Macaca mulatta: one gene and its partners. The main gene of each other region encodes a partner of the protein of the gene in region 6 in a complex. Links are inferred from orthologs where the notes say so. Each region holds a gene or a part of one and is shown on either strand. Other genes may lie near its edges. The genes, in order: TBC1D4, PADI6, EIF2AK2, RND3, CAMKK2, SFN and ANPEP.

Region 1 (4,497 bases), on a different chromosome or scaffold from region 6:
CGCATCCGGGAAAAGGCAATAAACAGGAAAGTCAGTTAGAGGTTTTCTTGAACTTTTATGAGAAAGTCTTATGGCTTCCACTGCTCCCACTGGACTAAAAGGTGGAAGTGATCTTAAACATATTAATGTTTATATAGTTCAGCCTCTAACGCTTAAATATATAATGGAGGAAAATAAAGGAATGTTTATAATTGACTTCCTACCAATGAGACCAGGAGGAACTCAACAGCAGCTATTGAGAATTCAAGGTGCCACGACCATCAATGAGATTAGCAACAATGTGTCAGGCATCAGATGTGGCTGGAGGGAAATAACTTTAACATAAACCCCTAAGAGTCATGAAAAGTTCCTTAAAGTCCTGAAAAAATGCAACTGGCTCCTCCTTACCGCCAGAACCAGAAAAATGTAATACAATAAAGATGTAATAGCTTTCAGAAACTTTCCAATTTTAACATATGTAAAAGCTAAAAAGTTTTGAACAAATGATCACAAAATGAAATTCATTAAATCGTGGTTAGGATCTTGAAATAATTTTAGTACAATATTTTGCCATAAACATAACAGTGATCACAAATTTAAACTGCTCTCTTCACATCAGGAGTTCTTTTTATTGGGCGACTTTAATGCCAGCTACTCGGGAGGCTGAGGCACGAGAATCGCTTGAACCTGGGAGGCAGAGGTTGCAATGAGCCGAGATCATGCCACTGCACTCCAGCCTGGGAGACAGAGCTAGACTCCGTCTCAAAAAAAAAAAAAAAAAAAAAAAAAAAAAAAAATATTTTACAAAGTGATGAAATCTAAGACAATTAACTCTTATTTTCTTCAATTCAACTATAAGCCTTTTGTGAAAACTATTCTAAGTCTTTCAATTACAGACAGAAGAATTGTGAAATAAAAAATTAAAGCCTTATTTATAGGATGTTTTTCTCATCTGACTACTATTAATTTCCCAGCTATCAAAAGAAAGCCACATGGTGCAACCTGAGACTTTATTTATATTTAGACAACAATATTTTTCCAAAGAACCTAAAGTACTGTGCAAACATTAAATAACCATTTTTAAAACAGCATTTTGGAAGCTTTTGAGATGGGGGGAAAAAAAACTCATTACAAATTAAAGGGGAAAAAGCTTGTTTTCAAAGGCACAATCACTGCATAGTCAAGTTTTCCTCTCCCTGTTCCATAAGGTCCACATCTGTTTTTAAGGAAGTAAAAGTTTACTGTTTGGTAATTCGAATTAGAAGACTAAAAAAAAAATTAAAAACAAAAGTGAAAAAAATCATTTAAAAATTGTATTAGAAACCTGTTCTACTAAACTGCCTCCAATAAGTGTGTTTAAAAACTGCAAAAAAGAGAAGGGCTTCTTTCCATTCAATATCCAAATGCAGAATTCTTCTTCGCAGACAATCTGACAATGTCTAGTAACTTTTCCCTAACCCCCGCTCCGAAATCGGAGACCTGCAGGTGCTGGGGCGAAGATGACGCGACCAGCCAAACCGGTTAAGGACCGTGATTGAGAACTAGTGAGAACCTCTAGGAACCCAACCTTCTGCGTTCATACACGCGCGCGCGCGCGCGCGCGCGCACACACACACACACACACACACACACACACACACACACACACACGGCAAGCAAGCCATCTCCGATCACACTCCAGACACCGCCGTCCTCCCGGGACGCGCGCTCCTCTACGCGTGCTCTTTGGACGCGCCAGGTCCTCCTCCATCCAGGGACCGCGGTCCTTCTCCCTCCGGGTCCCTGCTGCAACCGGCCGGCTCCAGCCGCTCGCCCAGTCCCCGAATGCCTTCTCTACCCCTCCCAAAGTCCAGGGAAGCGGACGAGACGGCGCTTGAGAGCGCCACGTGGAGCGCGCGCGCCTGCAGCCAAACCACAGTAGGTCCTTAAAGTCGCGTCCCCGCCCCCCTCCCGCCCTGCTCCCGGATCCCCCAGGGCCAAGCCCGCCCCCGCGCCTCCGAGCCCCAGTCTTGCCTGGTTGGGGTCTGTGGCGCGGAAAACGTGGCAGGCCATCTGCGACTCGGGGTCGTCGGGCTGCGCCTTGATCAGGTAGGCAAAGTAGGTGAGGTCGTGGCTGTTGTGGATGAAGCGCGAGATGTGCTGCGCCTTGTGCTCGAAGATGAACACGGCCGGATTGGGATGCGCTGCCGACGGACTGGTGCCCCCCGAGGCCCCGGCGCCCGGCGCGGGGACGCAACGCAGGAAGGGCGCGCTGAGCACCAGGATCACCTCGCGGGCCGCCGGCGCCCCGCAGCCGCCCGCCTCAGGCTTCTGGCTGCGCCTGCGGATCTCGGCCATGAGCCAGGGCAGCATGGGCAGCGTGGTCCTGCGGTCCAGGCACGACCCCCCCACGTACCACAGCCGGAACCGCTTGTCGCCCGGCTTCCCGGAGCCGGGCTGAGCTGAGACGCCCGGCTCGGGCTCCAGGGGGTGCGGGAACGGCTCACCCTGAATGCAGCTGGGCGGCTCCATAACTCTCACCTCACCAAGGCACCGCGGAGGCCGGCCGGGCGCACCGCGCCCCCCACTCCCGCGCAGAAGGCGCCGCCGAAACTGTGCCAACTGCCGCACCAGGCCCCCGCGCCCGCCTGGGAGCGGCGCGACCCCGAACTCCGCGCCTCAGCAGCCCTGCCCCATGCAGCACTTCCACGGGCGCGGCTCGGAGGCTCCGGCGGCGGGCACCGAGGCAAGCGCCCGGCAGCCGGAGGGATAGGCGAAGGTGGGTTAAATGGGCATCCTCCTTGGGCTGGCGCCTCGGGCAGGACCTCCCCTTCCTCCGTCGCGAGTATGCAGGGTCAGAGGACCACGCCGAGGGTCCCCGCGGCCGCCGACTCCAGCGCTGCAGCCCCGCTGCAGCCTCCGCGCTCGCCTCGGGCAGGCACTGGGTGGCTGGGCGGGGAATGGGGCTGTGGGCGGGAGGGGGTGACTTGGGGCGGAGCTGACTCCTACCAGGGTGACCGGCTGTCACCTGGAAGGTCGGGGCTGCCGGGCTGCGGCGCGGTCAGTCCTCGGGAAAGGCCTCCGACAACTACTCCAATGGAAAATAACAAAAACAAAATGTGGCCTCGCGGGGCCGCTCCGCCTCCCGCAGCAGCTGCAGCCCAGCTCGCTGCTCCTCCTCCTGGCGTTCCCGTCCCTCCCTCGCTCCTTCCTTCCTTCCAGGCTGCTTCTTTAATTGGGCTGCTAACCCGCCTCCCGTCCGGCGGGCGGAGAGCGGCGCCTGCAAAAGCTTATCTGCGAAACTGCCTCTCCGCCTCTTCCTTCGACCCCCGCCCTTGGGGCTGCAGCTTAGAACCTGGCGTGGGCACTGCCTGGACCCGCTTGGCCTCTCTTAGGTCGCTGCGATCGCCATCTCCTCCCGGGCGTCTCTGCTGCCCCCTAGAGAGGGGGCCACTCGCAATGGAGAACTGGGATTTTTTTTTTTTAACAGTATTTGCTTGGTTTCAGTTCCTTCTAAAACCTACACATTAATTTCTGAATTATCCTTCCTAATAATCTCAAAAAACGCTCGTGTTTTCAATCACAATATTATAAATTCCAGTTCCAATTTTCACTTTAAAACATAGTATTGACAACTTGAATCTTCCTAGTTCTTAAAGCAGCCAACTTCTTAAAATATGGAAAAATTATATTTTATTTATTTTATATTCCCAGTTGAGAGCTAATGTAGAGATTTCTTGTTCTTTTATGTATATATGATAATACATATTTCCAAAGAACTAAAAAAAAGTTTGGAATAATTTGATCATTGTAATTTTAAAACAGGTGGACAAATATTCTCTCTTTACTCATACTGAATGATAATTAAGAATTGGGTAAGAAGTAAAGACAAATAGGAAAGACACAGAAGTTCTTGACTTTCTCCTAAGTGCTTACAAGAAGAATGAAAACTCGGTTTTTAGTTTCTTGGTTTTTAGTTTCTTGGTTTTTAGTTTAATGAGTTCTCACTTTCTAGAAAGCCCTGGGACCACTTTTTCCCTTCTGTTTATTTAAGGTCAATATGACTAACTGTCATTATTCCTATGCTGAATTTCTGGTTGCACCCTGATGGCTCTCTTATTAATAGGTATCTAAATTCCAAGATGGAGACATTACTAATTGATTAGGTTAAGTCATTTGGTTTAACCACTTAAAAAACCTTTGTTCAAAAAGACCCATGTCTTCAAAGAAGCAATGAAAAGTTCTTGGAAGGTAGACTGAGACCTTCTAAAACCTTCCCAGAAACTCTCTTACACAGATCCCATTTCCTTAGGCTACACATCTGAGACATATAAAAGAAAGGAACAAAAATATAGAGAAAGCATGGAAGTCTTGTAGATTCTACAAAATCAACCAGCTTGGGAGCTAGGATTGAATTAATAGCTGCAGCAGGCCAGTTCCTACTGGCATAATAAAGTGAAGTAACAAAGAACACCCTTTCACTGATTGACAGAAAAACAGAATTGCCTTTTAATACATGACATGCGAAGTATGATTGCT
Region 2 (3,746 bases), about 9.5 Mb from region 6:
GAGGGTCCGTCCAGGCAACACTGGCTGCCGCCTCACTGTGCTAGACTGCAGAGATGGGGGAGGGACAGCAGATAACGGTGCCTATGAGGAAATGGGCAGGAGACCCCTTCTCCCCCATCTCAGTTAGGGACGCCCTCCCAGAGAGCAGGTATACTGGGCCTGAAGGCTTGGAGGGTTCCCCAGGCAGTTACTATGGGCCAGGAGCTTCAGGAGCCTCAGTGAGCTGTACCCCTAGTCTAAAAGGATGAACCTGTGAGGCCCACTTCAGATGGGGTGCTATGTAACTCAGAGTTGAGGTTGCTGTGCATCTGCCAGCAGTGAGGTCTTGGGCAAGCTACCTCAGGGTAGGTCTTTCCACTATCCCCAGGGTCCAGGGCAGCCGTGTCCGATACATGGAGGTACATCAGCACTTAAAATAACATTCTAGGCTGGGCGCGGTGGCTCACGCCTGTAGTCCCAACACTTTGGGAAGCTGAGGCAGGTGGATCACCTGAGGTTGGGAGTTCGAGAGCAGCCTAACCAACATGGAGAAACCCTGTCTCTACTTAAAAATACAAAATTAGCTGGGCGTGGTAGCACATGCCTGTAATCCCAGCTACTTGGGAGGCTGAGATGGGAGAATTGCTTGAACCTGGGAGGTGGAAGTTGCAGTGAACCTAAATCACACCATTGCACTCCAGCCTGGGCAACAAGAGCGAAAGTCTCTCAAAAATAATGTTCTGTTCAGCTTGGCTGGTTGTGGTGGCTCACCTGTAGTTCCAGCACACTGGGATGCTGAGGTGGGAAGATCACTTGAACTCAGGAGATGGAGACCAGCTAGGACAACATAGTAAGACCCTACATCTTTAAAAAAAAAAAAAAAAAATTAGCTGGGGCCAGGATGCAGTGACTCATGCCTGTAACCTCAGCACTTTGGGAGGCTGAGGAGGGCAGATCACTTTTGAAGTCTGGAGTTTAAGAAAAGCCTGACAGACATGGTTGAAACCCCATCTCTAGTAAATACAAACACTAGCTGGGTGTGGTGGTGCATGCCTATAATCCCAGCTAATCAGAGGCTGAGGCAGGAGGATCCCTTGAATCCAGGAGGCAGAGGTTGCAGTGAGCCAAGATTGTACCACTGGACTCCAGCCTGGGCAACAGAGCAAGACTGTCTCCACCGCCTCCCCCCGCCCCAACCCAAAAAAAAAAAAAAAAAAGCTGCGTGTGGTGGCCCATGCCTGTAGTCTCAGCCACTCAGGAGGCTGAGGCAGAACAATTTCTTGAGCCCAGGAGGTAGAGGCTGCAATGAGCCACTGCATTCCAACCTGGGCAACAAACCAAGACCTTGTCTGATAAACCAAACCAAAAAAAAATTCTGCGGCCGGGTGTGGTGGCTCACACCTGTAATCCCAGCACTTTGGGAGGCCCAGGTGGGAGGATCACCTGAGGTCAGGAGTTCGAGACCACCCTGACTAACATGGAGAAACTCCACCTCTACTAAAAATACAAAATTAGCCAGCTGTGGTGGCGCATGCCTGTAATCCCAGCTACTCAGAAGACTGAGGCAGGAGAATCACTAGAACCTTCCAGCGGAGGTTGCAGTGAGCCGAGATCATGCCACTGCACTCCAGCCTAGGCAACAAGAGCAAAACTGTTTATTTTTGTCTTTAAAAATTCTGTTCCTACTTATTCTAAACCAGAAGTCATAATCAAGAGTGGGGCTGTGAGCACATAGAGGTCCTGGTTTCACCAAGCCTATGCCAACTGTGGCTCACATCTGAACTTTCTCATGTAACAACTGACCCATTATATAGGTATTTAAAATGAACGGAGGCATTTGAGGTGCCCCAATTCTCTAAACACTTGCTGACCTCTTCCCTGGGTCCTAGGGACACAGGCCCTGATGCCATGGGTGTCTTCTAACTTGATCAGCTCAGTGTGGTCCGGTAGGGGTGAGTAGTGGCAAGAAGCTGCTTTGAGAAGGAGTTGAGATATGAAAGATGTGCAGCAGTCAGCTGACAAGAGGGGGTGGGGAGAGCGTTCCAGTGGAGGCAGCAGCAGCCGTGTGTTGCATCCAGACCATAAGAGGCCAGAATAATCAAAACATAGAAACTGGAGAAGTTGACAATCCCAGACCTTGGCCAGGCAGGATGTTGTCTTGCTGTTGAGAAACAGCCATTGGAGGGCTAAGCAGAAGCGAGCTGGGTTTCACTGACCTGGAGGAGGCGGCTGCCCGCCTGCTACGCCTGGTCTGGCCTGACCACAGAGAGGCAGGTGGGGCGCGGGCTTTCAGGCCTCTGATCCCTACCCGGGCCTTACCCTTTCTTTCTGACAGCTGCGGATGATTGTGATGGGCAAGAACCTGGGGATCCCCAAGCCTTTTGGGCCCCAAATCAAAGGGACCTGCTGCCTGGAAGAAAAGATTTGCCGCTTGCTGGAGCCCCTGGGTTTCAAGTGCGCCTTCATCAATGACTTTGACTGTTACCTGACGGAGGTCGGAGACATCTGTGCCTGTGCTAACGTCCGCCGGGTGCCCTTTGCCTTCAAATGGTGGAAGATGGTACCTTAGACCCGGGCCCTGGAGCTGCCAGCTCTGCCCCAGCATGGATGGCCCACTGTCACCATGCAGCAGATTCCTTGCCCAGCAGAGGCTGGACAGTCCAGGTGACACAACCCTTTCTTCCCTGTCCACCCCGACCCTCGGACCCAGTAGGGTAGCAAATGCTGCCAGCTTGAACCCCTGTGGGGAAAAGATGGAAAAGTGTTCAGCCAAATGGCATTTACTAAATAGCCAATAAAGTGCTGGTGGGCATGAATGCATCTTGGCAGTGACCTCCTCGTTTGGGGAGGGGATGTGTGCCAGCTGAGGACAAGGCTGAGCTGAGATGCCTATGGCCATGCTGGCTGCCTTGTGTGGGGGGAAGAGACTTGGCTACATGAGTTGCTGTCCTTCCCCTCATCTCTAAATTATGTCTATGGCAGGAAGTGGTTGGACTTATTCAAATGGACTTAGATTATCCAAATGCTGCTCTGGTTTAAGCAACTGGGACAGACTGGGTCTAGAGTCCAGGGCCCAGGCTGAAGGAAGGTTGAGGGCCTCCCCTTGGGCCTGGTAGGACCTGGAGGGGGCAGGCCCGGGGTGGGGTTGGTGCCATGCCCGGTGGGCACCAAGTAGAAGCTGTGGTCTCCTTGGGTCTGTAGGTATGGCCTCAGAAGACACAGCAGTAGCGGACCTGGGTGACCCTCAGCCTGAAGTGCCCCTCCCAAGGCCCAAAGCTGTATATTCCCATCTGACCATTCCTGTGTTAATGGCACAGGGATGCTGTTAAGCTTTAACAGGCGCTGTGGCTCCTGCCCTGCTCCTCCTGGGTGATGGCTCCTCTAGGACACTAACCCTCAGGGTAGGCCCTGAGAAGGGAGCCTTGTGTCCATGTCCCACAGGGAGTTGAAGGCAGAGCTGGGCCTCGAACTAGCCCTGGTCCCAGCACCCGGGGCTGTGGGCAGCAGGCAGGACCTGGCCAGCCTCTGCCAGCTGCTGGGGCAGTGGAGGAGGGTCATCCTAAGGAAGCAAGGCAGCCAAGAGGCAGAAGCCAAGGTTGGGGCAGCAGGGCTGTTCACTGGATCAGACGTGGGTCTTTATCCAGGAGCTGTGACCTGGTGTGCCAGCTACCCCAGAACATCTTACGACATCTCATTAGCCTGCCCATGGTGGTGCAGTCTGTGGACTATACTAGACACGTCTTGTCGTATTCATGGCTCTGACCCCT
Region 3 (4,010 bases), on a different chromosome or scaffold from region 6:
ATCAAGAATCATCTTTCTTTAATACATCTATCTACTATTCAGAATATACTGGTGGCTCATAATGGCTCCTACTGCCATCTTACTCTCATTTCTGACTATATTTACATCGTTGCCTTTCTCTTCAGTTAATTGACATAGCATCTGACCTTTTTATAATCCAAGTTTTTATGCTATTTTAATCTTACTTGTCTGCAAAATAATACACTTCTCTTGAAAACACTTCTACAGTGAAAACAGCCCAATTCCTTGCCAGCCTCGTACAAAATAATGCTCTTAACCTAATTACTCGAGTGGTACCCCCATAGGGCTTTATGTCTACAGTGCAGCATGTGCATATATTCAAATATCTCTCGACACATCTAAAATTATTTTATAGATTTCAAGCTTTCTGCTTCTGAAACTCTGCTCAAATAAGGGTGTACAATACTCTACAAGTATTTAAAACAATACATAAGTCTGAAATAAAACTTCAGATCAAAATATGTTCAATGCATAATGATACTCACCTTTTTGCCTTCCTTTGGTTATTTCTGAGACCATTCTATAACAAAAGAAAATGAGAAATAGTTTCAGATGACTAAATCAATCATCTTCCTTTCTCTTGTTATCTTTCCTCTTGTATTTCCAGATGGCTCGCTGACCAATTTCTTATTCCATCAATGTCTGTATTCTCATCAAGCCCTGTATAAACACTTAGTATTGTAAGACTTAACTTTTTGCCAATCTAATGAGTTTAAAATAGTATCTAATTGTTTTGATTTACATTTTCCTGATACCTAGTAAAGCAGCTTTTAATATTTGTTGCCCATTTGGGTATCTCTTCTCTGAACTATCTGTTTATATACTTTGTACATTTTTCTACTGAGTTGCTTGCCATTTTCTTATCGATTTTGTAGTTCTTTATAACAGAATACTCTTGTAACACTAATCGTCAAAAGCATAGATTTTGCTCTAAGTTCAACATTGCCTGCTTATGTGCACCAAAAAGTTATCTGTTTTTTGTTTGTTTTTGTTTGTTTGCTTGTTTGTTTTTGAGATGGGGTCTCACTATGTTGCCTAGGCTGATCTCGAACTCCTGGGCTACAGCGATACTCCCACCTTGGCCTCCCAAGTGCTGCAGACTATATGCGTGTGCCACTGCACCAGGCTAAAAAGTTATCTGATTTCAGTTTACTTTTAATGTTAAATTTAATTCTAATTTTTTAAAACAGAAATAAACTATATTAGAGAATCTTTAAATATTATCCCATTGGTAGGAGAGAAAAGCAAAATCATAGGAATATATTAAAATATAGGGGTGAGTGAGGAAAGACAGAAGTGACGTGTAGAAGGGTGAGGAATGGAACTTAATTTTAAAAAGAATCAAAACGCTGCTGAGCCGGGCACGGTGGCTCACACCTGTAATCCCAGCCTTGGGGAGGCTGAGGCAGGCAGAACACGAGGTCAGGAGCTCGAGACCAGCCTGACCAACATGTTGAAACCCCGTCTCTACAAAAATTAGCCGGGTGTGGTGCATGCGCATGTAATCCCAGCTACTCAGGGGGCTGAGGCAGGAGAATCGCTTGAACTGGAAGGCGGAGGTGGCAATGGGCCAAGATCTCGCCACTGCACTCCAGCCTGAGTGACAGAGGGAGACTCAACCTCAAAAAAAAAAAAAAAAGGCTGCTGAATATTATCATTTAGTAAGAGTGCATAAGAAAAAATATAAAAATTATGGTGGAATACTAGAAGTTATTTTTAAATGAGGAAACGCACAGAAAAATAAGATTAAGTAGGAAGCTTCGAGACTAATATGATACCGTAAACAATGAAGAAATGTGTAAACTGCCACTTTTAGAATTTATCTCTGATGTATCTGCTGAGACGTCACTTTCAGCTGATGATTCAGAAGCACTAGAAGAAAAGGGTGTAACTATTAGTTTATTAATTCTGTTTTTATCACTTCTTTCTCTAAATTCTCCTTAAACATAAACATTTCTCTTTCAGACAGAAATATGAATATGTTAAATATCTCAACTGTTTGTCTACACTTACAGTGAGTTGTTCACTAAAGGGTTGCTTTGGGAGTCACACGTAGCAGCAAAAGAACCAGAGGACATGGAGTCAGGTTTCTGAAAGAAAGAGAGTCCCTTAGTAGGCTTAAATGCAACTAATTATTTCTCTACAGAGGCTCAGTTTCTGTGTACTATCACATTTATTTCAACACATTTACCAAATCCACAACCATAAACAATTACAAGATCAATAACGTTTTTTATGGATGTTTGGTCTGGATTTGATTTGATTTGATTTTTTATTTCATTTTTCTGGATCACAGGACAGATAATTTTTTTGTTTGTTTCTTTTGAGACAGGATCTGGCTCTGCTGTCCAGGTTGAAGTGCAGTGGCACGATCTTAGCTCACTGCAACCTCCACCTCCCAGGCTCAGGCAATCCTCCCACCTCAGCCTCCCAAGTAGCTAGAACTACAGGTACATGCCACACACGCATCTAATTTTTTTTTTTTTTTTTTGTAGAGTCATGGTTTTGCCATGTCGCCCAAGCCAAGCTGGTCTGAAACTCCTGCGCTCAGGAGATCCACCTGCGCTGGCCTCCCACAGTGCTGGGATTACAGGTGTGAGCCACCACACCCAGCCACGGCCCCATGGCACATGGCTCATTGGTGCGACACAGAATGGAGGAATCATTTTGCTAAATCACTGGCTGTCTTGGCATAATGTAACCACAGTCTAACCTGAAGTCAACTTCAGAGGGAATTTTAAAACATAAAAATTTAATCCAAAGGCAATACGTACCACTGAGGTTTCTTCTGATATCTCAAGCAATGCAAGTTTAGCGGCCAACTGTTTTGCTTCCTGTTTACTAGAACCTGTACCAATACCATATTCTTTGTCTCCAATTTTGCATTTATAATGAAATCTAGGAGAAATCATAGAGGGTACTTATCCAAACATGAAAAATATAGTAAATCCAACTTACGATTAAAAAAAAAAAACATTAACAGAGATCTTAAGATAATACCAATTTATTAGATAGATTTATAGTTCATATCTTGCATAATTTAAACCCTCAGTAACCTGCCTGACCAATTTCTCTGAATAACCAGGATCAGTTGACATCTGAGCTTGCATTTTCCAGGCAATTTCTAATTTTTGGTTGCTTTGCTGAAAGATATGGCACAAAGGCACTAAGTGGTGATTTTTTTTGTTTTTTAATTCCCCAAAGGTCAAAAGATATGGAGGTAGAAAAGAAAGAGGTCCAGTGAATTTTTTCAGCAGTGCTCAAATGGGAAGGAAAAAGCCAGCAGAGAAAGTGGATTTGACAGGAGAAGCTATGAAGTTACAGCGTAGGGCAAGAGCAAAGCATGGATTCTGCTCTAACTTCAACATTGTCTGCCATCTGCTTATGTGCACAAAAATTTGAGAAAATCCCCACAGTGTAGATTCCCTATACTAAAGTCCACACTCTCCTATTAGACGTAAGGACATTTGTGGTTAGGCCAGGATACCTGGACAATTATATAAGAACTATTTTTAAGGGATAAAACAATGGACATGGTAATTTATATCACAGAGTTACTACATATTACTGCAAAATGATTCCAGTATTTGAACTCCTTTTCCTTTGTGCTTCTATTGAAGGCCATTGATAGAAACACATCCAAACAGGGTGAGTCTTCCCTGCGAGACCCTGAATTAAATAGCTGGGTTGAGTAACTGGATCATTTCTATAGCTCCTATTTTTTTCAGACACTGTCCCCCCGCAAATAGATTTCTTCTTTCTTTTAGGTATCTAACGTTAGAGAGCATAATTCAAAGAAATCAAAAAAGTGAGCTACAGAAAATAAAATAGTCTCTTAATTATCAAGATTGACTCAACAGATTCACTTTTGACTATTTCATTCCAATGAATACTATCACATGTTTTTCTTCCTGGTTTTGGCCCAAAAGCCATGACTGTGAATAGCTGAGTCAATTCATAGAACAGTATCCTAAAGTGATGATTTGAAC
Region 4 (4,010 bases), on a different chromosome or scaffold from region 6:
AAATAATAATGCATTGCAAAACGTTTACTGATATGTTAACTGAATTTTCCAAGTGTCACTGCAAAAATAAAAGTTGTTAAAATTTGAACTGCCTTATTTATTACTTCATAAATATTGGCAGTCAAGAGCCAATCGCTAAGATGTCCAACTCTCATGGCTCATTAGAGGTGTTAGAGCTCTGAATAAATGCTAAAGGCTGATCTTAACAAATGAGGACATTCATTATCAAACACTTAATATGAGGTGATTCAAAGAAGTGTAGAGTGGAGCTAACGAGGTGATTCATCTTCACTATCAACTGCAAGCAAGAGTTAACTGGTTACTCAGGCTTTCCAGAGTCACAGCAAGCATGAAATGGCCCAGAGAATCTTACTGGTGAAGTAAGTTAGCTGAAGGTCATGAACATAAACTCCACATTTTCCACACAGCTCTGGCTGTGGCGATGTGGCTTTGAGAACCTGTTCCAGCGTCTCCTGGGGGACTCCATTTCTCTTTTCTTGAGGGTAAATGGCATTCAAGACTAGTGACTAGGTTGTACCGAAAACGAGGGTAATGAATGAAATTTAAAATTGATTTTGAAATGTACGTGATTGTGTCTTACTTAGGGCCAAAATAAGTTGAGGAAAGGAATAATACTATTGTGACATCTGTTATATCAAACACAAAATACGTAATTTCTAAGTGTGAACCATACCACCAATATACGCAACAATAAACATGTGCACATCAACCAAAACTACTTATTTAAAATACCAAATTTTTGCTAATGAGAAATGGAAGACTAAGAAGACTGCAGTATTTAAAATGATGATTCTTAATACAATTTTGGTATTTCAACATGAACTCTCTTTAGATTCTGGTTGTAGGTTTTACGAGAATGAGCTTTTGAAATTGATTCTCATTTCTACATACTTGGGGGAAATGCCTATAGAAATGAAGACTCTCTGAAAGATGGTGTTACGGAGTGCTCCAGTTTACTGGAAACAGCCTTATTATTGCACTGCCGACTGTAAAATCAGATTACCTCTCTTAAAGAGTATTACTGATTTTGACCACATTCTCTGTTAAACCTACTGAACTTTAAACCTACTTGGAGTTGCAGAAATATACAAGGTTAGCATATCAACTGTTTATGTACCCAAATATCATGTAATTACACTAATAAATGACAGCATTTTAAATTTCACAACTGACCACTGGCTGAGCGTTTAGAAAAGCAGCTACTTTTTATTTTATTTATTGTGAGTGACAGTCCATTTCTTTCACTCTTTCTAAAATCCACTTTTGCACATGGGCAACATATATACCTGGTCATAGGACACTGGCGTCTGCCTGTGATTGGAGAGTTCTACTAATGTACTAACATCTGTCCGCAGATCAGACTTGCAGCCGACCAAGAGCATTTTGGTATTTGGACAAAATTCCTGGATTTCACCTTTCCACTGTGACAGGAAAAAAAAAAAAAAAAAAGATTAAAAATGAACAAAGTAATGGCATCCATATCATAAAAACCATTTCTCCACTGGCAGACATTAGAATGAAACTCAAAAAAAGATGTTAAAAAAGGAGTGTCCCTTGAGATGAAGAAGCAAACTTTGCATTTATCTCCTGAATAGATGTGAAGTTTTACGACTTTTTAAGCATTAGAGAATGATTATGTATATTATGATCGATTCTCCCTCTCTGTGACTCATCTGTTGCTACTGAAAGAGATTTGGTAGATGTTGTCCAAAGGTAGCTTCAATAATGTCTTAATTATTGGCATGTCTCTGAAAGATAAATGTGTCTTAAGAATAATTATATATCCTAACAAGTGACCACATCCTTCGATGTGTGGATCTGATCCTCCTTAACTAGAAGGCTGCGGATAAGGCAGAGGCAACAGTAGCACAAGTATGCACTCCCTGATCCCATCATGAAACACTGAAGCATGCCACCGCGAGCTGAGGCTCTATTTAAGTACCTGAGATAGTTAATAAAACAGAACATCCTGCCTTGAAGGAGTTTCTATTCACATGGTTCCATCAACACAGATCATGACATTTGCAAAGGAACATCTCCTGGTGATCGGGAAGGCAGCTGGTCCTGTAGCTCATATGCCTTCGAATTAGTTTAAAACTATTTCAATCTATTCCAGTTTGTCTATTTGTTTCATGATCTAACAAGAATTAGTAGAACCCTCAGCAATGCCTGGCTTGGAATTCCAACTGTCCTCTTTAAGAACAAGCAAGTGGCTTTTTGTGGCTTCATTTCCTCAAGCTTGAGCTCTGCAACAGCATGGGAGTCAAGGGTTCAGGGCAGTCACAGGAGATCTTTGGCCTTTGAGGGCAGGGCCTGGAGAGGCTGAGATGGGGAAGTGGTGCCTGACTCTTCCCACCCACATTCACAAATATGTAAGTGTTCTACAAAGTACTGTGGCCGTGACAATGATGATTAAGACATAGCTGTGTCTTCTGGAAAGAAATTCACAGAATACTGGGGGTGATGAAGTCATGTATTAAGTATAACACAAGATAAGAGGGACATCCTGCAAGAATAACTTAAAAGATCACTAGAGGAGACATCTCCAAATCTAGGGGTGTACTTTGGGTAATGAACTCTAGTGCAAACTACACCAGTGGATTCAAAGGAGTAATATACTTTCCATAAGAGCCTATTGTGTTCACTTCTTCCTTTTTTTCTTCCTTCCTTCCTTCTTTCCTTCCTTCTTTCCTTCCTTCCTTCCTTTCTTCCTCCCTGCCTCCCTCCCTCCTTCCCTCCCTTCTTCCCTCTCTCCCTCACTCCTTTCAGAATTATGTAGGAACACCTACCATATGCTAGGTGGCACTAGCATTAGAAGTGGAAGGTGAACTGGAAAAAAAAAAAAGAAATTCTTCCTACTTCAAGTCATTCTAACCTCCTCTTTGATAGTGAAGGACTTAAAGGCTTCCATTAATCAAGACAAACCACAGGGGTTATCATGAGCCTTAAACCTCACAGGAATGTAAAACATACTCATTAATATCTATAAGGCCAAAGTCACTATTCATTTGGTCTTAGAAGAAAAAAGCAAAATAAAACAGGAGAAAGGCTTTTTCATCATAAATTATGCATAGCCTGATACTACATCAAATAAAATCTCCAGTAAATAAGCAACCCCTTTTATCTCCAGACAGAACTAGACATGTTGTTATGTTGCTCTTCAGCTGTGTAATGACTTTGGCCTCCCTCCGCATGTCTAGCAATTGTTTACAAGCATTAAAGACAGGAAAGGTGTATTCCTGCCTGGATTTGACAAGCATTAGCATTATTTGTGTTAGATATGTATTACCCAAAATTGAAAGGAGCTAAAAAGGGAAAAAGAGCCTTTGATCTATTAAGAAAACCATATTTTATTGAACTCTGTTTGTAATATTTAGTAGAGACAGAAGGAGTGATTTTACTTCAAATCCTGATTTCACAATGACACACAAGCCAAGCAATCAAATATAATAGAGGAATGTAAACTAATAAAAACACACAAAATACAAACAAATTCCACTAAAAATTAAAACCAAAAAAACAAAACCAACCTAGGCACACCTGCATGTTTGTCTTTCTTAATCCATACCATACTCAGACTGGGCTGCATGGCTCACCCCTCAGCTGACACTGCCTTGCTCTCAGCCACATCCGGTGTCTAAGCCAGGGCGTGGAGGAGAGGGAGTGCTCCACCAAGGGTCTGATCCTGAAGCCCCACAGCACACAGGCCAGGTCTGAGAAAACAGCTAGTGGCTAATAAATGCTGATCCATGGACTTACACGGCACGTGCCTTCTACAACTACCTGGAGGCTGAGTCCCTGCTGCTGGAGGTCAAGAAATGCCCCTTCCTCCCACTGGCCTCCCTACTTCCTGTGACCCATCCTGTAATAGGTCCTCTTCCTCTTGATCTCCCTCTGGTTCCTTCCATCCATAGCTTCCTTAGTTAGGTTCCTTCTTCACCTACAGAACCTGACTAACCTTTGCCTCCATAAACTATGTGTACGTTATA
Region 5 (4,010 bases), on a different chromosome or scaffold from region 6:
AGACCCCCAGTGCCTGAATCAGCTCTGTGAGCTCCCACGACCAAGGCATCCCACATGCTGGGGGCTGAGGGCAGGGGATCACAGGTGAGGGAAGGAAGGGGCAGTACAGCCCTTTGGGCCACTCTCCATCTGCTGGTGTCTTGCAATTTTGATCTCATTGAAATTAAGGCCGGGCACAGTGGCTCACGCCTGTAATCCCACTACTTTGGGAGGCCGAGGCAGGCAGATCACCTGAGGTCAGGAGTTCTAGACCAGCCTGGCCAACATGGTGAAACCCTGTCTCTACTAAAAAAATACAAAAATTAGCTGGGCATGGTGGCACACATCTATAATCCCAGCTACTCAGGAAGCTGAGGCAGGAGAATCGCTTGAGCCTAGGAGGCAGACGTTGCAGTGAGCCGAGACCACACCACCATACTCCAACACTCCAGCCTGGGCGACAGAGCGAGACCCTGTCTCAAAAAAAAAAAAAGAAAGAAAATAGAAAAGAAACCAAGAGCAGACTTGCTCACAGACAGGAGGCAGCCCCAGTTTGGCAGACCCTAAAATGGAGATTGAGAGGAGGAAGGCCGAGGAAAGGCCAACCCGCTGGGTTTCCACTCCATCATCCGTGAGGCTCACACCCAAGGCTGAGCTGCCCAGGCATCTGTGTGGGCACAAGCTGGGGACTGCGTCTGCCTTCTGAGGCTGCTGAAGACCGGTTCTGAAGGACTGCCGTCTTCCGTGCTCTATGCTGGAGGGCAAGGTTTCTCTCAAAAGCATAAATAATTCCCAAACAGGTGTTCCTCCTAGATTACCATATAAGCCCTGACTCCCACAGGATGGGTGGCCAATCCATTTTTCTTTTTTTTTTTTTTTTTGAGACAGATTTTTTGCTCTTGTTGCCCAGGCTGGAGTGCAATGGCGCAATCTCAGCTCACCGCACTCTCCACCTCCCAGGTTCAAGTGATTCTCCTGCCTCACTTCCTGAGTAGCTGGGACTACAAGCGTGTGCCACCACGCCTGGCTAATTTTTGTATTTTTAGTAGAGACAGGGTTTCACCATATTGGCCAGGCTGGTCTCGAACTCCTGACCTCGTGATCCACCTGCCTTGGCCTCCCAAAGTGCTCGGATTGCCCAGCCTGGTGGTCAATCCATTTCATCTTGTAAGCCAGCTCCTAACACTTGTACAGGAATGTTCATAGCATCAGTCTTCATTCGATAGCCAAAAGGTGGAGACAAGTTCATCCACAGAGAAATGGATGAACAAACTGAGGTGTGTCCATACAATGGAATATTATTTGGCCACAAAAAGGAATGAAGTACTAATACACGTAGAGCATGGATGAACCTTGAAAACATGATGCTGAGTGAAAGAAGCCAGACACAGAAGGCCACGTAGTGTATGATGCCATTTATACGAAATGTCCAGAATCGGCAAATCCATAGAAAACTAAAAGACGAGTGGTTACTGGGGTGGGGGAGTTGGATGGGGACAGCTAAGGAGTGTAGGGTGCCTTCTTGGGCTGATGAAAATGTCGTACAGTTGATGGTGGTGATGGCTGCAAAACTCTATTAGAAACCACAGAATCAAACACTTCCCACGGGTGAATTGCATGGTATGTGAATTGAACCTCAATAAAGCTATTTTTAAGAAACAGAAGTGACTGCCTGGAGCTCCCACCAAGTCAGGTGGCCACGACGGGTCACTGGGAAGGGCAGTGGGGTCCCCACCCACCACAGCACCTGCAGCAGGGGTGCCCAGCAGGTTCTCCCGGTCTCATAGGGACACAAGGCTTCATCTGTCCTGGGAGGTTCTGGTCACCTGGGCTGGGTATGCGTATGAAGGAAGGGTGGCTCACAGCAAGGTCTGCATCCACTCGGGGGAGGGAACTCTTACATTACTTTGCAACAGGTGGGAAGGGGACTTATTTTCTAAGTCTAAACACATCAGAGAAAGAGAAGTGGAGGCTGGGGAGCCCCTAGCAAAGAGCCACACAGTGCAACATGCCTGATCTATGCACTGACCATGCGGACTCGGCGGGGGGCACCCACGGGCCCCGTGACAGAGCTTCAACGCCATTGACGTGCACTGAGAAGACGTGGGTGCCACATGGAATCTTCAGACCTGGGTGCATTCTCAGGCATTCCAGCTGGAGCGCCATGCACCCGCAGCCCCAGCCCACATGCATGACCCACCATCGGGTCCAAGCCCCCGAGGCCCCTCGTTCTAATACTGGGTCTGGAGGCCCGTGGTGAGCCCGGCCACAGCAGCTCAGGCTGGAAGGAGCGTCTGCCTGGGTGGGGATGCCCCCGTGCTCTGCAGCTGCCCACCCACCCCCCCTCAGGCCCCAGCAGAGGCTACGGCACAGGCAGGCAGGTGTTACCTTGAGCTCAGACAGGGACTCACATTCCCTGGTTGGTTTTTTGCTGGAATCACCAGAGGGAGGGAAAAGGGAAGTGAGAAGGGACGCTTGGGATCCACGAGATGCCCATTCCCCCACCCAGAGACACTCAGACCCCAAACACTAGCTTCATAGAGCTGGAGCCAGGGTGGCATTGACATCAGGTGAGTGGACACCCCTCTGCATGGACACACAGAGTCCTGAATGAGGCCACACTGCTCGCCCAGCACAGAGCCTCAAACCTCCCCATCAGGCACTCACACTCCTGGGCCACAAAAGTGCTTTTCCTCTGACTGCCAAGAGCCCCCCAGCTACAGTGCAAGTCCCCGAGAAATGTAAACTTCAGGTGGATTAGCTGTCAGCAAAAGGAGGTGAGCTGAGCCCAGGCTGGGGTGCTGACTGTCCCAGTGCACCAGGTGGGTCTCATCTGAGTCTCTCCAGATGGTGCCACTTCAGGGAGGACCTGTGCAGAGTGCTCTGGGCAGGGCTGCCCCAAGCTCAGCCTCCAGCCCCCACTCCCCCACCCAAGAAGGCAGGCGGCCACTCACGTGAGCAGGTTTCCAGGCGCTGACAGGGAACGCTCCTCCCGCCGGCTGCCCTCGAATGGGTTCCCAAAGGAGCGTTTACGTATCATGGTCTTCACCAGGATCTGAAGAGGGAGAAAAGAGGAGGTGGCAGGTGACTGCTTGGCCAGGTGGGGGCGATTCCGGGCAACATCCTCCCTCTTCCTTCTCCCCAGCCCCTGCCAGCGCCCAGGGCTGGTGGCTGATGGCAGGCCTTTGAGAGAAACTGGACAGCCCCCCGCCGCTGCAACCAACCCCCACCAAAAGAATCCTCTGGAAAAAGGTGCTGTCCTGCACCACACCTTCAGCCACTGCTCAGCATCTCTCCCAGGCCTCCCTGCTTTCCACCTCCCTCCCATCCCTTCCAAAACCCAGATCTGGTCCCCTCACTACCTGACTCAGAATCCCCACCCAGAGGGGTCTGGAACTTGGCCTGTGGTCAGCCAGAGAGCCCCGGAAAGTTCTGGAGCAAGGACATGAACCAGTCACTCTTGGTGATGCTCTTGGCTGCCATTTCCCATGAAGGGAATGGCCTGCAGACCCCCTAAGAGTCACTGGGCCCCTCACCCCACCCCAACCAGGGCACGGTGCCCCTTCAAGCTGTTTCGGGAATTCATGGAGCTTCTGACTTTTTAAGCATTTGCTGCTAACAAGAAGAGTAAGTGTTTAAGAAACACTAATTTACCAAAAGGTGCAAACACCCAAATGCCCATCAACTGAAGAACAGATAAACTCAAAGCGGTCTGTCCGTGCAATGGAACATGATTCAGCCATAAGAAGGAGTGAAGCACTAATCCTTGTACAACACGAACGGACCGTGAAAACCTGCTACGTCAAAGTAGCCAGGCCCAAAAGGCCTCAGAGTGTAGGATTCCACCAGAATACACAAATCTACAGACACAGAGGGCAGGTGAGTGGGTGCCAGGGCTGCGGGGAGGGGAATGGAGAGTCACTGCTGATGGGCGGGGGTGTGAAGTAATGAAAATATTCAGAACTATTGAGGGGATAATTGCATGCCACTGTGAATGTCACAAATGCCACTGAATTGTTCACTTTAATTTT
Region 6 (3,055 bases):
CTTCCCTCCGCTGAGATCTGAGCCCTTGATGAGACTGTGACCCGCCTGTAAATCGGGTGCTCAGTGCCGCTCACTACTGCAGCGCTGTCCTTAGATCTCATGCCGGAGACTTCACTATTTCCTGTCCCGCTCCACCTGAGCTCGTCAGCCTCCCGCGCTGCGGCTCCCACTCACCTCCCCTCGGCCCTGCAGAGGAGGCTCGGCGCCTCCTGTGGGTTCACCTGACCCTCCCGGTCCCATCCAGTTTGATGGGGCCGCCCTGATGGAGACAGCCGGACCCCGGCCTCACCTGGACTCAAAGTCTTGCGTGCAGGTCACTGAGCCACGCAGGGAGGTCAGGGCCCTAACTCAGAGGTCGAAAGTCAGGATCTCTAAATCAGATTCCAGTTCCACTCCCAACCCATCGCCAAGAACTGGAGAGAGACAGGAGGAGTGTCACAGGGGAACTTTATTGAGAGGAAACATGGTCACACCCAGCAGACATGCTTTCCTTCAATGTCGGTCTTGCACTGGCGCGCGCGCGCGCACACACACACACCCATCTCCAGCCCCTGCCACTGTCCAGTTCTCAGCCACAAGGCGGGACATTCCTCAATTCCTACGACCAGAGGCAGCAGGGGCAGGAGTGAGGCAAGAGGGAGGGGAGAAGTAGCCTGGTCCTGGGGTCGGGAGGAAGCGGTGCGGAGAGCAGTGCTGGGGTCATGACCAGTGGTTAGGTGCGCTCAACAGCTGCAAGAAGAGTGGGATCCCCAGCCCCAGGTGGCCTCAGCTCTGCCAGTCCCTCTCCACGGAGCCGTTTGGAGTAAGAACAGCGCCTGGGGGAGAAGGGTGGGGCCTCCCACCCCATATTAGTCCTCTCGGCAGGGTGGGGGACTGAAGGGGGCAGGGCAGGGTGGGGCGGTGGTGGGCAACACTCAGCTCTGGGGCTCCTGGGGAGCCTCGCCCCCCTCTTCCCCGGCGTTGTCGGCCGTCCACAGCGTCAGGTTGTCTCGCAGCAGCTGCATGATGAGGGTGCTGTCTTTGTAGGAGTCCTCGCTGAGGGTGTGCAGATCAGCCATGGCCTCATCGAAAGTGGTCTTGGCCAGCGAGATGGCCTCCTCGGGGCTGTTGGCGATCTCGTAGTGGAAGACGGAAAAGTTCAGGGCCAGGCCCAGGCGGATGGGATTGGTGGGCGGCATCTCCTTCTTGCTGATGTCCATGGCCTCCTGGTAGGCTGACCGGGCTGAGTCGATGATGCGCTTCTTGTCGTCACCAGTGGCCACCTCGGCCAAGTAGCGGTAGTAGTCGCCCTTCATCTTCAGGTAGAAGACCCTGCTCTCCGCGTCCCCAGCCTCCTTGATGAGATGGCTGTCCAGCAGGCCCAGCACGGTGTCGCACACGCCCCGGAGCTCAGTCTCCACCTTCTCCCGGTACTCACGCACCTCGGGGCCCTTCTCCTCCGAGCCCTCCTCGTTGCTTTTCTGCTCAATACTGGACAGGACCCTCCAGGCAGCCCTCTGGCCGCCCACCACATTCTTGTAGGCTACTGAGAGCAGGTTTCGCTCTTCGCAGGAGAGCTCCTCACCTTTCTCCACGGCGCCCTTCATGAAGGCTGCCATGTCCTCATAACGTTCGGCCTGCTCTGCCAGCTTGGCCTTCTGGATCAGACTGGCTCTCTCCATGGCTCTGGGGACACACAGGCGGGCGGCGGGCTAACTGCTGCCTGGGACCAATGCCGGACTCTGTGCCTCTCCTGCTCTTGGCCTGCCTTTTGGCTGGGTGGCCAGGCCCAGAGAAGGGTGGGGAGGAGCAGGGGGCGGGACCAGGGCCCAAGACCTGCCTCCGTCTCCTCTCCTCCCCACACCCTTTCCGGCTCTGCAGTAAAGGTAAAAAGGCTGGGATGTGGGGGTGAGTCATCAGAACAGTCAGCAGAAGAAATCTGGGCGTGGGCCCCACCTGCACAGGCACCTTTCCAGGCTCTAGGCTGCCCCCTCTTGTTCGGGGCTGGCATCATATGGCTGCTCACATCAGGAAACTGCCTGGCTTCTCAAATCAGATCCTCCTTCACAGCGCCCTTACAGAGGCTAAGGGCGGCTTTAGCCCCTGGCTGCTTCTGCCTCGACAGAGCCCATAAAGGTTCAGGAGGATGGGGTTCCCAATCCTGCCAGGTAACTTCTCCCCTTGATTCAGGTGAGGATAACTCATGTTTAGGTAGGGCCATAGAGTTTCCCAAGCACTTTCATATTCACCATCGAATTTAATCCCCACTGTGTCTCTGTGACACACACAGGACCACAGAGATGGGAACACTAAGTCTCAGAGAGGGGTGAGATTTGCTCAAAGTCACATAGCCACCACTTCCCTGAAACTCCTTTCTGCACCCTGCTTCCTTTAGCTTTTCTCCCGTTGAAGTCTCTGACCTATGAGCTCCAGGCTGTGTTTGGAAGTGAGATCCAGGCTCTTTCTCAATCTACCTGAAGATGGTTCCATCCCTCAGGCCTCACTCCCCCTCAGGGTCCCCTCTGAGCTCCCAGAATGCGCAGGTGGCAGCTTTCAGAGTGCCACTTAATGAAGTGTTTAACAAGCAGCCTCTGACGCTCCAGCCCAGCCTTTGTAATTAGTCACCCAGTAGGTTTGTTGTACACATTTCCCATCACTACACAATTTTCCCTTTCAAGTTGGTGGCCTGTTGCCACTTGTTTGAGGATTTACCCTCTGGCCCTCCACACCAGGTCACTTGCCCTCTCCAAGCCACATGCCATCAGGTACCAGTGGGGTTCACAGAGGGTGGGGTCCAGCTCCCCGGCTGTCCCACTTTCCTGCCTGACTCAGACTGCTCTCTGTCTGAGGCTGGGAAGCAGTCCAGTTTGATCCCCCAGGGGGGACGCTAGCAACCTGGGGAGAGAGAGGACTGAGAAAGGGAGGTGGCAGTGACACATACCATTCTGTTTTATGGGGCAGCAATCCCAGCTACGTGATGCCTCCCCCAGCCTGTCTCTCAGAAGTTTCCCTGTTCCTTCCTTTTTTTTTTTTTTTTTTTTTTAAATAGAGACAGGATCTCACTACATTGCCCAGG
Region 7 (4,010 bases), on a different chromosome or scaffold from region 6:
AGGGTTTGTCTACAGTGGCTGGGGCTAGGACCACAGGAGGCCAGTCCTACTATGGTCCCTTAGTAACCGTCCTCTACCCCACCCACCTGACCATGCCTCAGTGACCTCATCTGCTCACTTGAATTCTGAGGGGCGGGTAACATTGGAATCGGGGTCAAGGAGGAAGTGCTCCTGGGAAAGAGTCCCCGTGCTGGTATCCACCGTGATGACCGGGAAGCCCATCTGCAGGGTCCAGCGATCCATGATGTTGTGCACGGTGGTGGGGAGTTGGACGGACCGGTTGTTCACAGCCTGTGGGTGGAGCGAGAGGGCATGGCCATCAGTGGGCTGCCACCCTCCAGTCCCTGCCATCCAGGGCATCCTCTGCAGATTCTCGCCTCGACCCCAGGGGGCCACTTGTATGGGAGGCCTGGGAAGGGCACTGGGCCGGGAGCCGGAAGCTAGGGTCCCATTCAGCTCTGCCTCTCCTCGGCTGCTCGGTGCTGGACGAGCTGGAGAACTTCCCAGCAAATCTATGTGGCCCCCCATTCTGTGGTCCACCCTGAGGTGGGTATGTCAGGGAGGGGATGCCCAGGATGCCCATGGCTCTTCCTGAACAACACTGGGAGGATGACAAGAAAGAGAAGAGATGAGGGAAAGCCAGTGTTCGGGTGTCACAGGCAGGGGCGGGGGAGGGGGTCCTGGGGGTCGCATGAGGGAGGTGCACTTGTACTGGGGTGTGGGGCGGGGCTTAGGCACTGTTGCTGTCTGCTTGGATCTTCGATCATGTACCTGCATTGCCTTTGTTATCACAACAGAAAGCCAACATCATTTGTTAATAACTGAAGAAAGGAATCACCTAAGAACAGGGCCACACAGAGGGCAGAAGAGCATGTGGGGAGGAACCAGCTGGGGACCGCGGGCCGAGGGGCTCAGGAAAGAAGAGTGAGAGAGAAGGAGGGAAGGGAGGAGAGGTTGGCTTCAGAGGGAATGCAGAGGGGAAGTTGGGGCAGATCAAGGAAGGTAGTGGGGGAGACCCAGGCAATGACAGTGTCATGTCAGCAGCATCTCGGGGTCGGGGGATTGGAAATTGCCCAGCAGGGACCTGGACCCCAGCTGTGACTCTGTGATGACAAGATCCTGGGTCTCGCTTCCCCAGTGAGACTGGCCTGGACTGGAAGTGCAGCAGCAACAGTGGGGGAGAAGCTGGACGGGAATTTGGGGCCCGGAACTCTGGAGGGGCTGTCGGTGAGGAGAGGACATGTCTGTCCTCTGGCTGAAGAGGCTGGCATTGGGCAGGGCTGCAGGGAAGGGGTGGGGGGCAGCTGTCAGGGAGCGGAAATGATGGGGGCAGGATGGAGAGCAGGTGGACTCCAACCCCGGGGGAGGCGGAGGAGCGGTGGCCTCTGGGGGAAGGCAGGAGGGTGCAGGCAGTCTGAGGGTTTGCCCCACACACAGGGGCTGTGCGGGGTCTGATGGAGAGGAACTCCAGGCGGGGCAGGGGCAGAGGGCAGAGTTCCTGCTGAGTGTGGAGCTGTGTGCAGAGACGTGCCTGGAAGGTGCCAGCGGGAGCACAGGGGAGCCAGGAGTGGGAGAAGATTGAATGCCCAGCTCCAGAGTTCCAGGCAGAGGCGGGTTTGGACTCGGGAACCGTGAGGGCCGTTTCCTCACCACCAGGAAGGGGCTCTACAGCTCCCAACAAGGAGCCCACTGTAGCCTGAGGTCAGATGCCGGCCAGGGCCTGGACCACGGCCTCACTCAGACACCTCCTGCAAGGAGCCATCCTGGTGCCCACTATAGGGAGGAGCAATGGAGGCTCCATCCACCCTGCAGGGCTGGTCAGCTGGACCCATTCTCTTGTACACGTGTTGCCCCCAGGCACCTTCAGCATCTCAAGACCCCAACAGGATGGCTGTGGAGGGGCTGGCTGCTACTGACCTCCTGCAGGTGGTCCCACAGGTTCAGGTAGATGGTGTTCTGGTAGGCAAAGGTGTGGAGGTAGGACTGTGGAAAGACGGGGCACAGTGAGGGCACAGCTGGAGCCCCCCAGGTTCCCCCTCTGTGGTGAGCTGAAGCCCAGGTCAAGGGCCAGGGGCAGGAGACCCACCCTCATGGCTGACCCAGGGTGCGGTACTCACTGCCAGGCCCTGTTTGAATACATCCTCAGACAGGAAGCTGGAGAGCATCCTGAGGACTGAGGCGCCCTGGGGAGGGGGGGAGGGGGTGCTCAGAAGGCTGTGCTGAGCCACCAGGACCCTGTGCCCCCAGACCCCAGCTTCAGCGAGGCCCCTCCAGGCCAAGTCCCCACCTCCCTCCCTGTGTCTCACGAGGTGTGGGCTGCACCTTGCTGTAGGAGATGGAGTCAAACAGCTCACTGATCTGGGCCGGCGTGTTGATCTCCGAGGCAGGAGTGGACAGTGGGTGGGAGGAGGCCAGTGCATCCACGGCCATCACGCGGTACACTTCGTTCAGCACCATGAGGTCTTTCTGCAAATTCCCCAGGGCCATCAGGACACTGGCCTGGTAGCGGTGGCCCAGGTCTCCCTCCACACCCCCCGACTGGACCCCAGGGCAGCTGCTCACCAAGTTCCAGGTGGGCTCTGCATAGTCAGCACCCAGGTACTCCACGTAGGAGGCAAAGCCCTCGTTCAGCCACAGGTCATTCCACCACTCCATGGTCACCAGGTTCCCGAACCACTGTGGGGGGAGGGGTCAGCTGGGCAAGCCACGCCCAGGCCAGGCACTGAGAGTCCCCAGAACTACCCTCCCCAGGGCTGGCCACCTGCCAGGCACAGTGGGGATTTCACCAACCCCATCGTGACCCCTTCCTGCTGCCCTGTCAGGCGGCACCCTCCTCCCTTCTCAGCAGCCTGGGGCGGAGCCTGGACCTGCACCATCTCCTCCTGGAGCCCCCGTTTCCTTCTCTGCACTCCCCGAGATGGGGGTCTACCTGGTGGGCCAGCTCGTGAGCAATCACAGTGACCACCCGCTCCTTGTTGCTGCTGGAGGAGGACAGCGGGTCGAACAGCAGGGAGTTCTCCCGGTAGGTCACCAGTCCCCAGTTCTCCATGGCGCCGGCGTTGAAGTCAGGCAGGCCAATCTGGTCTGGGGAGGCGAGGCCATTGGCAGGATGGCCTCCGGGAGTGGAATTCCAACCACTGCCTCCCTCCTCGAGGACCCCCACTCACCTGATTTTGGGAGTGGGTAGGGTGTGTCATAATGACTGGCAAAGAAGTTAAGGATGGGGCCTGTCACGTTCAGAGCATAATCGCCGTGACCCGCCGCAATGGCACTGGGCCGGGCCCAGATCCGGATCTGCAAGGTGTGAGGAAGAAGCAGGCCAGGGGCCCCTGTTTGATCCTGGGGCAGGTGGGCTGGGTCCCAGGGCCCAGTGGGCCAGGGGGATCCCCGACGGGCCAGGGCTGGGGGTCAATCAAGCTAAACCTAGAGACCTGGTCAGCAGAAGGAACACTAGGGGGGCCTGGAAGCTGTGGGTCCTAGAGAAGGGCCTTTGGAGAATACCAATTATCATAGCCACCGTCTGTCTGGTACTGGCGGGTCAGAACTCCCTTCATGAGGAGAAACCATTGTTTTCACTTTTCAGGTGCAGAAATAGAGAACCAAAGAACAAGACACTTGCCCGAAATCACTCAGAGCTGGGATTCAAACCCTGGCCTAACGATTCAGAAATTGGTACAGGGATGAAGAGAACAGGAAGACCCCTCAAGCCAGGGCCAGCCCAGGTGAAGGAGAGATGGGCCCAGCCTCATACCAAGACATCATTGGATGCCTGCGTCTCCACGTAGGTGAACTCGCTGACAATGAAGGCCAGCAAGTACGTGGACATCTTGGGCGTGGTGTGGAACTCGGTGACACTCCAGTTGGGGTCTTCTGGAAGTGGGGTGCTGGGACCTGGGCACAGAGCATGCGTGTGTGAGGATGCACCCTCCTGCCCCATACCCCAGCCCCAGCGTGCCTGCCCCCTGGCCGTGTGGCCTCAGGCAGGGCCCACTCACCTTTGGGAAGCATGT

Evidence for each region.
Region 1: the proteins of SFN (region 6) and TBC1D4 are in contact, whole or in part, in a crystal structure (PDB 7NIX), measured with the Homo sapiens proteins. The link is inferred for Macaca mulatta from reciprocal best matches to the Homo sapiens genes SFN and TBC1D4. Residues at the interface, in NP_006133.1 of Homo sapiens: Asn42, Ser45, Val46, Lys49, Arg56, Arg60, Phe119, Lys122, Arg129, Tyr130, Glu133, Gly171, Leu174, Asn175, Val178, Tyr181, Glu182, Leu218, Ile219, Leu222, Asp225, Asn226, Leu229, Trp230; in NP_055647.2 of Homo sapiens: Arg637, Arg638, Arg639, Ala640, His641, Thr642, Phe643, Ser644, His645, Pro647.
Region 2: the proteins of SFN (region 6) and PADI6 are in contact, whole or in part, in a crystal structure (PDB 4DAT), measured with the Homo sapiens proteins. The link is inferred for Macaca mulatta from reciprocal best matches to the Homo sapiens genes SFN and PADI6. Residues at the interface, in NP_006133.1 of Homo sapiens: Lys49, Arg56, Arg60, Lys122, Arg129, Tyr130, Gly171, Leu174, Asn175, Val178, Tyr181, Glu182, Leu222, Asp225, Asn226, Leu229, Trp230; in NP_997304.3 of Homo sapiens: Phe443, Tyr444, Pro445, Ser446, Ala447, Glu448.
Region 3: the proteins of SFN (region 6) and EIF2AK2 are in contact, whole or in part, in a crystal structure (PDB 7OBK), measured with the Homo sapiens proteins. The link is inferred for Macaca mulatta from reciprocal best matches to the Homo sapiens genes SFN and EIF2AK2. Residues at the interface, in NP_006133.1 of Homo sapiens: Lys49, Arg56, Lys122, Asp126, Arg129, Tyr130, Glu133, Gly171, Leu174, Asn175, Val178, Glu182, Leu222, Asp225, Asn226, Leu229, Trp230; in NP_001129123.1 of Homo sapiens: Asn546, Glu547, Arg548, His549, Thr550, Cys551.
Region 4: the proteins of SFN (region 6) and RND3 are in contact, whole or in part, in a crystal structure (PDB 7OBC), measured with the Homo sapiens proteins. The link is inferred for Macaca mulatta from reciprocal best matches to the Homo sapiens genes SFN and RND3. Residues at the interface, in NP_006133.1 of Homo sapiens: Lys49, Arg56, Arg60, Lys122, Asp126, Arg129, Tyr130, Glu133, Gly171, Leu174, Asn175, Val178, Glu182, Ile219, Leu222, Asp225, Asn226, Leu229, Trp230; in NP_001241667.1 of Homo sapiens: Asp236, Lys237, Ala238, Lys239, Ser240, Cys241.
Region 5: the proteins of SFN (region 6) and CAMKK2 are in contact, whole or in part, in a crystal structure (PDB 6Y8A), measured with the Homo sapiens proteins. The link is inferred for Macaca mulatta from reciprocal best matches to the Homo sapiens genes SFN and CAMKK2. Residues at the interface, in NP_006133.1 of Homo sapiens: Val46, Lys49, Arg56, Arg60, Lys122, Arg129, Tyr130, Glu133, Gly171, Leu174, Asn175, Val178, Tyr181, Glu182, Leu218, Leu222, Asp225, Asn226, Trp230; in NP_001257414.1 of Homo sapiens: Arg508, Ser509, Leu510, Ser511, Ala512, Pro513, Gly514.
Region 7: the proteins of SFN (region 6) and ANPEP are in contact, whole or in part, in a crystal structure (PDB 7AEW), measured with the Homo sapiens proteins. The link is inferred for Macaca mulatta from reciprocal best matches to the Homo sapiens genes SFN and ANPEP. Residues at the interface, in NP_006133.1 of Homo sapiens: Asn42, Ser45, Val46, Lys49, Arg56, Lys122, Arg129, Tyr130, Gly171, Leu174, Asn175, Val178, Glu182, Leu222, Asn226, Leu229, Trp230; in NP_001141.2 of Homo sapiens: Ala60, Ser61, Ala62, Thr63, Thr64, Leu65, Asp66.

Annotation. Positions count from the first base shown.
Region 1 is NC_133422.1:70,244,370-70,248,866, forward strand, and holds the start of TBC1D4 (TBC1 domain family member 4), read right to left. Parts: upstream 2,902-4,497; 5' UTR 2,491-2,901; coding exon 1,993-2,490; intron 1-1,992.
Region 2 is NC_133406.1:223,606,127-223,609,872, reverse strand, and holds the end of PADI6 (inactive protein-arginine deiminase type-6), read left to right. Parts: intron 1-2,314; coding exon 2,315-2,548; 3' UTR 2,549-2,792; downstream 2,793-3,746. UniProt on the Homo sapiens protein: Structural constituent of cytoplasmic lattices, which plays a key role in early embryonic development. Cytoplasmic lattices consist in fibrous structures found in the cytoplasm of oocytes and preimplantation embryos.
Region 3 is NC_133418.1:87,801,331-87,805,340, reverse strand, and holds part of EIF2AK2 (interferon-induced, double-stranded RNA-activated protein kinase), read right to left. Parts: intron 2,920-4,010; coding exon 2,796-2,919; intron 2,112-2,795; coding exon 2,035-2,111; intron 1,894-2,034; coding exon 1,800-1,893; intron 542-1,799; coding exon 507-541; intron 1-506.
Region 4 is NC_133417.1:55,446,075-55,450,084, forward strand, and holds part of RND3 (rho-related GTP-binding protein RhoE), read right to left. Parts: intron 1,443-4,010; coding exon 1,308-1,442; intron 1-1,307. UniProt on the Homo sapiens protein: Binds GTP but lacks intrinsic GTPase activity and is resistant to Rho-specific GTPase-activating proteins.
Region 5 is NC_133416.1:128,612,837-128,616,846, forward strand, and holds part of CAMKK2 (calcium/calmodulin-dependent protein kinase kinase 2), read right to left. Parts: intron 3,035-4,010; coding exon 2,934-3,034; intron 2,411-2,933; coding exon 2,368-2,410; intron 1,922-2,367; coding exon of another isoform or gene 1,916-1,921; exon of another isoform or gene 1,811-1,915; coding exon of another isoform or gene 1,802-1,810; exon of another isoform or gene 1,380-1,801; intron 1-1,379. UniProt on the Homo sapiens protein: Calcium/calmodulin-dependent protein kinase belonging to a proposed calcium-triggered signaling cascade involved in a number of cellular processes. Isoform 1, isoform 2 and isoform 3 phosphorylate CAMK1 and CAMK4. Isoform 3 phosphorylates CAMK1D.
Region 6 is NC_133406.1:214,121,902-214,124,956, forward strand, and holds SFN (14-3-3 protein sigma), read right to left. Parts: upstream 1,727-3,055; 5' UTR 1,662-1,726; coding exon 915-1,661; 3' UTR 890-914; downstream 1-889. UniProt on the Homo sapiens protein: Adapter protein implicated in the regulation of a large spectrum of both general and specialized signaling pathways. Binds to a large number of partners, usually by recognition of a phosphoserine or phosphothreonine motif.
Region 7 is NC_133412.1:79,616,272-79,620,281, forward strand, and holds part of ANPEP (aminopeptidase N), read right to left. Parts: coding exon 3,996-4,010; intron 3,892-3,995; coding exon 3,752-3,891; intron 3,295-3,751; coding exon 3,168-3,294; intron 3,085-3,167; coding exon 2,930-3,084; intron 2,677-2,929; coding exon 2,563-2,676; intron 2,467-2,562; coding exon 2,323-2,466; intron 2,184-2,322; coding exon 2,118-2,183; intron 1,984-2,117; coding exon 1,918-1,983; intron 292-1,917; coding exon 119-291; intron 1-118. UniProt on the Homo sapiens protein: Broad specificity aminopeptidase which plays a role in the final digestion of peptides generated from hydrolysis of proteins by gastric and pancreatic proteases.